2 linked regions of the Mus musculus genome follow. The protein of the gene in region 1 interacts with the protein of each later gene in a biochemical or structural test. Links are inferred from orthologs where the notes say so. Each region holds a gene or a part of one and is shown on either strand. Other genes may lie near its edges.

The links.
Region 2: the proteins of Esr1 (region 1) and Grip1 form a complex in vitro, tested with the Homo sapiens proteins (2 studies listed by BioGRID and IntAct). The link is inferred for Mus musculus from reciprocal best matches to the Homo sapiens genes ESR1 and GRIP1.

Annotation. Positions count from the first base shown.
Region 1 is NC_000076.6:4,707,801-4,713,561, forward strand, and holds the start of Esr1 (estrogen receptor), read left to right. Parts: upstream 1-2,357; 5' UTR 2,358-2,494; intron 2,495-4,165; exon of another isoform or gene 4,166-4,311; intron 4,312-4,512; 5' UTR 4,513-4,583; coding exon 4,584-5,047; intron 5,048-5,761.
Region 2 is NC_000076.6:119,998,422-120,003,677, reverse strand, and holds part of Grip1 (glutamate receptor-interacting protein 1), read right to left. Parts: intron 3,927-5,256; coding exon 3,740-3,926; intron 3,153-3,739; coding exon 3,007-3,152; intron 1-3,006. UniProt on the Homo sapiens protein: May play a role as a localized scaffold for the assembly of a multiprotein signaling complex and as mediator of the trafficking of its binding partners at specific subcellular location in neurons.

The sequences.
Region 1 (5,761 bases):
AGAGGATAAGTGGTTGAGAACTACAACTGGGACTCAGAAGAGGGAGGCGCTGGAGGATGACCACGAGTGGAGGATGACCATGAGGATAAGCTGGTGCTTGATCCGAACCTCAAGACAGCAGATGCTTTCTGCCAAGCTAGAAAAGTGAATATTCTAAGCAGAAAAAAAAAAAAAAATTAAGAGAAGAAAAGCTTTGGGGCCTTTGGAACAACAAATTTTTATTCATCAGGCTGAGGCATAGGCTACGTGTTGGGGGTGACAGACTAGCAAAGACAGGTCCAGGAGAGAGGAAGGGACTCTACTCTTAGAGAAGCTGGGATTTGGGGTAATGATGAAGGGGAGCCTGCACTTAGACAAGTGAGGTAAGAGGCCGCTGAAAAGGGATGGGCAATGCATGGGAAGGGAGCGTGCAAACTATGGGTTTGGGAGTTGTTTCTTGGATAACTATAGAAGGCATACGAGTGTCAGACAGAGACAGCGATGCTGTGTCCTGTGTCCGGAGTGAAGTGTTGGGTCGGGAGGAGAATGATGTTGGGTGTTTGGTCCAGAGTCTGCACTGGGCAGGAAAACAAGGCAGCCCATGTTCTCCCCTACACCTGGGCAAGCAGTACAGTGTGCTCAGCCTAGGACTCAGAGAGAAGAGGAGAGGGATGAGACTCCAAGAGAAAACAGGTGGCCAGAGTAGCGGTGCCGGGTGGTGAGTGGGGGAACCAAGATGGCGGCCATGCTTTCCGCCACAACCCCTGTCCCTGGGAGACAGAGTTTACTAAGAGGAGTCTGAAAGCTATTCCTGGAAATGCCTATCTTGAGATAGCTCAGGCTAACTGGAATTGTAAACTTCTCCACGGCCAAAGTCCCCTGAGATGATACCTGCCTTCTCATACCCTTCCTATGCAGATCTCCAGATGTCCAGATCTCTCTCTCTCTCTCTCTCACACACATATACACACACACCAACTTTCCTTGACTCATTTTCTTTCTTTTCTACCATCTCTCCTTCTTTTGTTACACAGTTTAGTTGGACTGGCTTGATGAGTGTGACATCATTGTTGACCTACAGGAGGGGCCCCTGTCATCAGGAGTCAACACTATTACCAACAAAGGGTTAGCAATCTTTTTTCCCCCAATATTTATTTATTTGTTTGTTCATCTATACAGTGCTAGATCTCAAACCCATGACTCCCCATATGCTAGGCAAATGCTTCATTACTCACACCGCAACTTCTCGATACTTATTTATATATTAGATATTTATGGTCATTGCTGATTGTTGAGGGAACTTGTCTAAGTCCCGATATAATGACCTTGAGTCTTTCCAAGCACAAAAACGTATAGTTGCAGCATGATATCATTAGTATTTTCTTTCTATTTCTTTCTTTGTACTGGCCCAAGTGCCACTCATATATCTCTTGGTAACTGCCTAGGGTCCTAGGGCTGGAGACCGGCCACTCCTGGCGTTGTGATTAGAGTCACTTAATACCTAAAGTAGTTACTAAACAACAAAGGCTCCTTTAGGCCTCCTGTGTCCTGGGACCCAGGGTGAGGACACAGTCAGAGTACCTTGTTAATCTGTGTTGTACTGTGGTGGAGAGAAGCACTGAGAACCAGGTGTATCCATGGGACAGCACTGGAGGTACAAGATCTCTGTCTGCAACCAATGCTGGTAACTACAGCTGTGAACGTGTAATCGCTTTAACGCAAAGCTATTTTATGGTTCCAACTTTACGATTAAAATAATGCCTCTTCTGGGATGTGTTTACAGACAGTAGTCAGTAGGCTATTGGTAGAGAGGCTGGTAGGTTTGACTAATGAAGTGAGGGAGTCTTGCATTTCAGTTGGAAACATATCCCTGGAATGCCAAAAATATTTATTGCGAAGTCTGACTTTTGTATGTTATTGGTAGCATTGTCACTGAGCATCTTATTCAGGGGAACAGTAGGGCTAGAGGGCTTGACTCATATGTATCCCAGAAGGCTTTTCTTGTTAAATGACATCGTTTAGGAAGAAGATATCCTGGCATAGTTTATAAACTTGATCTCTGCACACTTTGACTGGCATTCTAGTTTATCTGTGAGCCTGTGGTTCACAGCCATCTCAGTTTCCCTCTCCATAGAAAGCACCGGGACATTTCTGGCTCTACAGGTAGGGAGCAAAGGGGGCTGGAGTTTCTTCTAGGAATGCTGATTCTAGCGGGGCTACTGCTGTCCCTCAGCAGACAGCAAGGCTCCCGGACTCCCGCTGCCATTCATCCAGCTCGTGCAGGAGCCCAGCTGCCTTGTCTGCCGGGAGGGGCTGCCAAGTGCCCTGCCTACTGGCTGCTTCCCGAGAGTCCCTGCCACTCCACATACAAACACATCCACACACGCTCTGCCTTGATCACACACCGCGCCACTCGATCATTCGAGCACATTCCTTCCTTCCGTCTTACTGTCTCAGCCCTTGACTTCTACAAACCCATGGAACATTTCTGGAAAGACGCTCTTGAACCAGCAGGGTAGGATCGGCTTTTGATTTCTCTCTCTCTTTCTCTCTCTGTAGCTTGAGCGATTTGAGAAAGCAACTTACCTTTCTGCTTAGTGTCTGTCTCCTAGCTGGAGAAGGAAGCTGTGCTGTTTTTCTATGGGGGGAAATCTGTGCGGCTTTTTTTTTTTTTTTTCCCGCTTTCCGGACTTGTAGGATTCTCTGTGCCATTTATATATAATTTGGCAGGCTCAGATTTTTAAAGAGTCTCATCTGAAGTGCTTGCTTTTGCATGTGTTTTTTAAAAGGCATTTGAAAATTGAAAGTGTGATTTATGGGAACTAAATCATCTACGAAAAAATTGCTCTAGAAAGTCATGGTTGCTGGCCATAAAGAGAAATATCTGCGATTCACCTAATGTATTTTTAACCCTTCCTTTGCTGTCAATGATACTTATGGGTGCTAAAACTCATCTTTGTCTTTAGATTTAAGCCAGCTTAGCTGTGGTTTATCCAAAATTATCTGTTTTTCTAAGAATTAGATAAATAGTGTGCTTAGTAGAAAATATTTTTAAAGTGTTACTATTAGTAACAGCAACCTTGACATTTGCATGTGTCAGGTACTTCTCCTGGGTATATGGGCTAGCAATTCAAGTCATATGCTAATGGTTATTTTAGGGGATATTAGGTTGGGGCATATGCAGTTTATTAAGAAAGTACAAACTATCCAAGCTGCAATTTTTTTCTAAATTTGCAATAACAGGTGTGTGTGAGCTCAATCAGAATTTAATTCAATACTGAATAAAAAACTTATTTTAACTTCTCTGTCATTCGAGTATTAGATTCCTGTGTACCCTATGCCAAGGGAACCCAGAAGGTCCATTTGTAGAATTCAAGAGCTGAAAGGTAGGAGAGCCTTTCAAAAGTTTCTGGTTAGACAGACAAGGTTACCGGATCGCCAGAGCTTTAGTCAAGGACCTCAGGTGATATTTTATGGGAAAATGTCTTAGTCCTTGCATGGTTTTCCCAATTTTTGGTTGCATAACCTGTGGAAGGTAGGGACACCCAAGTGTGCCTAACCGAAGGTTTTTCTGAATCATATCCACATGAGAATTTCTAAAGGAAGCAAATTTGGCACCGGGGTCCAACAAAAACAGAAAAGCTAGGCTGGGCAAAATTGCCATGGCTGTGCTTTCTTGGGGAGCGTTTTAAAAAAATTATTATTTTTATTTTTTTGTCAGAAGAGGAAGCTGAAGGCTGGCAGTTTTCTCTTGACTCCAAGTGCAGCTCTTCCTATACATAGTCCATCTCCACTCGTCTGGCCCTAGATGCCTCCTATCTGTGTCCACTGGTGCTAAATATAGCTGTCGGTGGCTGGCTGCATATGCAATCACACACCCCATCCTATTTGCCATATCTCAGTTACAGATACAGTTACCGTCCCTCCAGGGTCATTCTATGCATACACTGCGTACTTCCAGCCAACAAGAAGACTGAATCAAATAGAAAGGAAGACAAAACAGAGACAGATTGGAGCTTGGCAGAGGCACACAGGCAACACATCAGGAAAAGAAAGAAAGAAAGAAAAAAAGAAAAGAAGAAAGAAAGAAAGAAAATGGCCTGTGGCTTAGTCTGCATTTGTTGCAAACCTAGTCTTCCTTGGGATGGGGGGAGTGGTAGGGGCGCGGCTCCTGGAGGTCCCTTTGCTGCTTTCACCCCCTGCAGCGAAATCCAGCAGCGAAGACCTGGAAAGTTAAGTTCAAGGAAGCTAGCGGTTCCTTGGGTGCACGCACAGTGTGATGTTCCCAGTAGTGCCTGGAAGCTGCAGCCCCTGGCCAGTGGCTTCCAGCAGGTTTGTCTAAGAGCAGAGGAGAGGAGTATGTAAAGTTGGAGAACCCGGGAGCGTCTGGGTGCGCTCCTTGGAGTTGGGTCACCTGTGTTCTGCAGGATAGCTCTGCCCCGCAGGGGCAGAGGCAGGGCCAGGGCCAGTACTCGTGCCAAGGGGGACTTGCGCTGCGCCTTCTCTAATCGCAGGCTCTACTCTTTTTTCCAGGTGGCCCACGCGCTGCTGAGCCCTCTGCGTGCGCGGGGAGCCAGTCTGTAACTCGCCGGCTGCCACTTACCATGACCATGACCCTTCACACCAAAGCCTCGGGAATGGCCTTGCTGCACCAGATCCAAGGGAACGAGCTGGAGCCCCTCAACCGCCCGCAGCTCAAGATGCCCATGGAGAGGGCCCTGGGCGAGGTATACGTGGACAACAGCAAGCCCACTGTGTTCAACTACCCCGAGGGCGCCGCCTACGAGTTCAACGCCGCCGCCGCCGCCGCCGCCGCCGCCTCGGCGCCGGTCTACGGCCAGTCGGGCATCGCCTACGGCCCCGGGTCGGAGGCGGCCGCCTTCAGTGCCAACAGCCTGGGGGCTTTCCCCCAGCTCAACAGCGTGTCGCCTAGCCCGCTGATGCTGCTGCACCCGCCGCCGCAGCTGTCTCCTTTCCTGCACCCGCACGGCCAGCAGGTGCCCTACTACCTGGAGAACGAGCCCAGCGCCTACGCCGTGCGCGACACCGGCCCTCCCGCCTTCTACAGGTACCCGCGCCACATCGGGGTGGCCGCTGTGTAAGGCCTGGCCGGGGGAGGGAGCGCACGAGGGGGGTCACCGCGGGCTGCAGGTCTCCCCATCCCAGCCCTCGGGGAAGTCAGAAAGGATTCTTTGGCAGCTTTAAAACAACAGTAACAACACAAACAACAACAACAACAACAACAACAGCAACAACAACAACAACAACAACAACATTCTCTGCCTGTAGCTGTCTTGTGGGAGAGACAGATCCAAACGGCCCTGTCCCCTAATTACACAAGAATTGGAAACTAGTCCAAAGAAGTTATTTATGGGGCAAGTAACCTAAAGGTCCAGGTGGCCTGTGCTAGCAAGGAACCCCTTTATTATTTAAAGCTGCAGGTGTTTGAGGCCAGTGGAGCCCAGGGGAGATTTATTAGTCTTTTTTGTTTGTTTGTTTTAAAATTGTTTCATTGTGTCGGGTTCAATGTTCTTTCAACTAGAGTTCTGGACTGGAAACACCCAAGGTTTACTGAAGAAGATAAGCTTTTAGGCAGAGCGGCCCGTGGATCTCTTTCCCTCTCTTCCCCATTTCTGGGTTCTGGATTGAGTTGCGGTTGCTCATAAATGCTGGTATGGGAGTTGAATGAATGGGTCTCAACAAGTTTTGATTTCTGGTCGAATTCGAGTTCGAGCAGATTGCTGGCATATGACTTCTGACAGCCGGGGATTTATAGGTGTCC
Region 2 (5,256 bases), about 120 Mb from region 1:
AGCTTCACAGCTCATCATCTCCTAGCAACAACCCGACCCTCCCTGACTGAAGCCCTTCTGCTGAGCTTTCTCTGCAAGTCTCAAACTCTGGCTCCATCTGATAATCCATTTCTCTGCTTTTATTCTTTGGTATCTAATACTCCGTAAAACCACCAAAACCAGGGGTAGAGTTGGCTCAGTGGTTAAGAGCACTTGTTGTTCTCGCAAAGGACTCAGGTTTGATGCCTAGCATCCATATGGAGGCTCCCTGTCTCCTCAGGTACCAGGCACGTATGTGCTACACAGACATACATGCAGGGAAAATACCCATACACACAGATAAAATATCCAACAAAACAAAACACAGCAACAAAATCAAAATGCACCAACCGATTAAAGAACAATAGAACCCTACTTTACCATGAGAACTGAGAGCGATAAACAGACAGTACAGACGGGGCCTTGGTGGTTTGAATATGCTTGGCCCAGGGAGTGGTACTATGAAAAGGTGTGGCCTTGTTGGAGGAAGTGTGTCACCCACTGGCCATTTCTTGGCCCTTCTTTATATCCCTCCTCATTCCCCCATCCCGGGATACAAGGGGAAATTCCAACACTTCTCTAGGTATTATTCCCACATTCTGATAGCCACACAACCCTGCAAGTCCCTCCTCTTTCAGCCATCATTCTCTTCTCTGATTGTCCGTGAGCTTCTCCAGGAAATACACTGGTCTTTCCTATTTTCTCTTCCCATGGTTTGAACACAGCAGCATATAGTGCAGTAATTGTGCCCCATGGTTTTCTTCTGGATGAAGACACACATAAGCTGGTATATTCCCTCTCATGTCATCAGTGGACCTGGTACTGTGGATCTAAAATAGAACTCTCACTGCTGCCTCCAGATGACCCTCTTCCAGGGTTATTCTTGTAACCATCGCTCTCTGTCTCTCATCTATCCATCCTCATGCCTCAAGAGCCATTACATGACACAGACACATTACAAGACACAGGCAAGTTTTGAATTTTACCTTGCCGCCGTCTCTAGTCAGCCACTGACATTCCCCATCTGTTCAGTTGCCACAGTCTCCAAGTTGTTTCTTCAGTCTCCCTTCCACATTTTAGAAGGCTTTTCCCGAACATAACTCAGATTATCTCGTTCTCCTGCCAAAATGCCTCCTGGCTTCAGCACACTTGGGACCCAACAGAAATTGTCTACCAGGATGCTGCACACCTGCCACACTCTGACATTTTCAAGCCCTTCCTCAAAACACAAACTCAACCCCTGCTCTTACTCTCTCCCTATGTACCCCAGCAGCCATGTGTACTGCGAAGCTCCTCTCGCTCAGCTTCTTCATGCTCACTGCTCCCTCTAGCTGAAAGGCTGTTCTTCAAGGCCCTTGCCTTGCTTATGCCTTCTCCGCACATTAATCTCTGCTTGAATGTCACTTCCTAAGAGACTCATCCTATGAAACAGCTCCTCTCTAGTCATCCAATGACTTTCTTCTCTACTTTATTTTCCTCAGAGAACTTATAGACACAAACTCATGCTAATAGCTTTTGAAATTAAATTTCTGTTTCTCTTAAAGGTTATACGGTGATAGAAATGTTCTTCTTTCCTGCCTGCTATTTCATCTACACTGTGCAAGAGAGTCACAATATCAAGTGTTTGGTAGCGTGTGATCCCTGTTTCTAAAGGCATGCCTCTTCTGATTGGTAAAAGGTCCTGGATATGTAGTGGTAACACTTTGCTGTGTGAAGAGCAGCCCGCCCGCCCTCCCTCTCTCCCTCCCTCCCTCCCTCCCTCCCTCCCTCCCTCCCTCCCTCCCTTCCTTCCGTCTTTCTTCAGTGGCACTGGGTATAAAGTCCAGGGCCATGGTGCACGTTGGGCAAGCTGTGTACCACTGAGCTACCTTCTCGGCTGATTACTTTCTTAAATGGGAATTTGCATCAAATTCTAAGCTCTGTTAGCTACTGCTTGGCAACCTCTCCAAGACCAAAATTCCCTTTAGATTCCTCCTCTGAGACTAAGACAAGTCCTTAGCCTAAGATCCAAGAACCTTCCTGGAAGGTGGGGTACAAGAGAATTAATGATAGAGGTGGGGAGAAAGAAAAATTACAAAATATGTTCTTTGTCATATGTAGAACTTAGATTTAAGTCTATTTATCAAGTATCTATCATCTATCTTCTATCTATCTATCTATCTATCTATCTATCTATCTATCTATCTACCATCTATTACCTATCTGTAACTATCATCTATCTATCAAACTACAATCTATCTATCTATCTATCTATCTATCTATCTATCTATCTATCTATCATCTGTCTGTCTGTTTGCCTGTTTACCTAATGACATGGAAACAGAGGGGTCTATTTGGGAGGGGGTGAGACAGGATAGCAAGAAATAGGAAGGGTAGTAGGGAGTAATTATGAGCAAAGTTCATGCATGGAATAAGATGGAATAAGAAACCCATTATTTTGTATACCAACCCCACCCCAAAAGAGAGCAAAATAATAAAGTAGAATAGAATACCTCGGGGTCACTTTAGCCAACATCTGTACTCCCCTCCCTGCCTCTGTCACCTAGGGTTTCTCTTAGTAGTTTTTACCCAGGGGTTCTCATACACTCATCTTGGTTATCAGTCACATGGCCATCTTTATCTTCCCTGTCTGTATTTACAGACGGTTTTGCTCATCGATTAGAATCCTCTTGACCCTAGAGAAACAGTCCTGGAGTCCTCCTTGTCAGTCCTCATGAGAGTCAGGTATAATTCTATTTAATCCCAAAGACCAAATATTCATCTACTAGACTAGCATCCATTCACCTACTGGACTTGAATCCATTCACCTACTGGACTTGTATCCATTCACCTACATGAAGGCAGGTGAATGGATTAAATATATATATATACACACATATACATACACATATACATATATACACACATAGCTGATGTGTCTTTCTGTCCCATAGCTGATATGACTGTCTTCTGACTCTATCACTGACTGAAGGAAGGCTCAGATTTTACCTGCAACATCAAACTCGATTTCTAGTGTGACTTTGCTCGTGATGGAAGAGTCTCTCAGGAGTTGATTGGCTTCCTCGAAGGTGCTGTCTTCTGTTGGGATTCCATTAATGGCCATGACTCTGTCTCCAATCTGTAGCACACCACATCTAGTTCAGAACCACATGTGAGAGGCAGGAGTTAGAGAAGATGATCGTGGGGTTGGACTGGCCACCCTGCCTCATTTCATCTTTGCAAAATAGCACAACCATTTGACCTTGTTGAGCTGATGCTATTGGCAAGCATGTTAGGTCAACTGCAATGCCCTGCACTCTTGAATCCCAGTTACAATTGTGGGCAAGGGGGTTCTGAAGTATCCCAGAGAATTAATTAAAAATTTATAACTAAATAGTATGATAATCTGACCAGAATGAGCAGATAGTAAAGATGAATGTACATTCCTGCAATGCAGAGATATAACTTCAGTTGAACTTATGCCATTTTTTTGAATAGATTTGTCTCCTTTCTAATTAATACAGCCTCTAGTTTTCCAATGGACAAAATCGGCTAAATAAAACCACCCGGGCTCATAATTTTCCCGAAACCTGATCAAGAACATAAAATTTTATCATCAGAATGGAGAGTTCATTACATTTTGCCTTGCCTTCACTGAGCCCTGTTCCATAATTTATTAGTTATTCTCAAAGAGCTGGTGTCACAAACACAGGGCAGAAAAGCTTCCGGGAAGGGGGCTCACCTCTCTGCTGGGCTGTCAGCTTCAATATAGGAAATCAGAGGCGGAGAGGAGAGCGTCTCTGTGGCAAACACGCTGCCCTGCAGTTGGATTCCGAAGCCCGTGACAGGGTCAGCCGTCAGCACAACCTCTGTGGTTTCAGTGTGAACGACCTGGCCAGCCAACCCCACAGTGCTGGAGGCTAAAGACACTAGAGGAACAAATGGGAAGAAAGTGATCATAGGTGCAAGCAGGTATGAGCATTTCCAAACTAGAATATGTCTAAACAGAAGCTTTTCTGCCAGGGAGGGAGTTTAAATGCTGGTCTAACAGCAAAAGAGTTGGGTTCCAGCTGAACAGGGTAAATGCATCTCCCAGCTTGTTATGCTGGAGTCAGGACCAGGGATGCCACCCTGTGCACCAGAGACTGGGAAGAGACTGTGAAAAGAGGATAGCCTGGGGGTCAGGGTATCTCATCTAGTCCTGGGCTGTATGAATGAGCACCAACCGAGGAAGACCTTGGTTGGGGCAGGTCTTTCCATCTCTGCATGTCCGTATTCTTTCTGCAAGGCGAACTGGGACGGCGGGTCTGAGTTTCCCCACTTCAACCACTTGTGATTGTGAACAAGGCAACCTTTTCTGTTTGGAGGGAACAATCTTTGTGACCCCAGGAATGCTGCTGCTGCTGTGCTGGTCCCCAGTCTTTCTCCAGTACTGAGTGGGCACAGTGAGTCATTCAAATCTCATACAATCCTCTCGGCCCCAAATTTCTTTTTCTATGTTTTGTTCTGGCTTAGTCTCCAGTCACCTGTTGCCTCCCATTTAACTCACTTCTTGGGTACTCATGGACGCCTCGAGCCAGACATCTCTCTTGCTCTTATTTTCATCCCCAGTGTTGATCTTGTAAGGATTTCCAGATGCTTTTTTTTGCTCTGTCTACAAGGTTTGGCCTCTTGTGTTTGAACACTCTATCTGTCCTCAAGGGCTCTGTGCTTTTGGGTTCCCAAACCAGAGGAGGAATGGTAGAGCATTGCCCATACCCTGGACATCCTTCTGAGGGCATGGCAGGAGTAGGGCCTCTCCCTAACAGATTTGGGCCTAATAAACTCCGTAGAGACAAAGGTTACATCCTGATAAAGCCCTGCCAGAAAACTGGCTTCTCAGAGATCACATGATTTGCAGTTTGCTAATCTAGCTGCTATGCTTGGAAGCCCCGCTCCTGAGCCCCCAGCACTTCCTCCTTGTCCTTTTCCCTCCCTTCTCCCCCTGAATGGAGCTATATAATCTAGCCCTGCTAACCAATAAATGAGCTGACCTCTGAACCAGTCTGTAGGAGCCATTCATACCTGTCATACTCACTACCACCATGCATGTTACCAGAGGCCCAGCTCCCCAGCATCTCTGTACCCTGGGACTGCTGGTGTGCAACGCCATAGGAGTTAAGGGGGACCCACACGCTGAAATGTTACTTTGCCCAAAATGTCTCTTTTAGCTTCCTACTTTAATTGAAAGCTCTTTCTAGCCGTCCTCCAACTGGAACC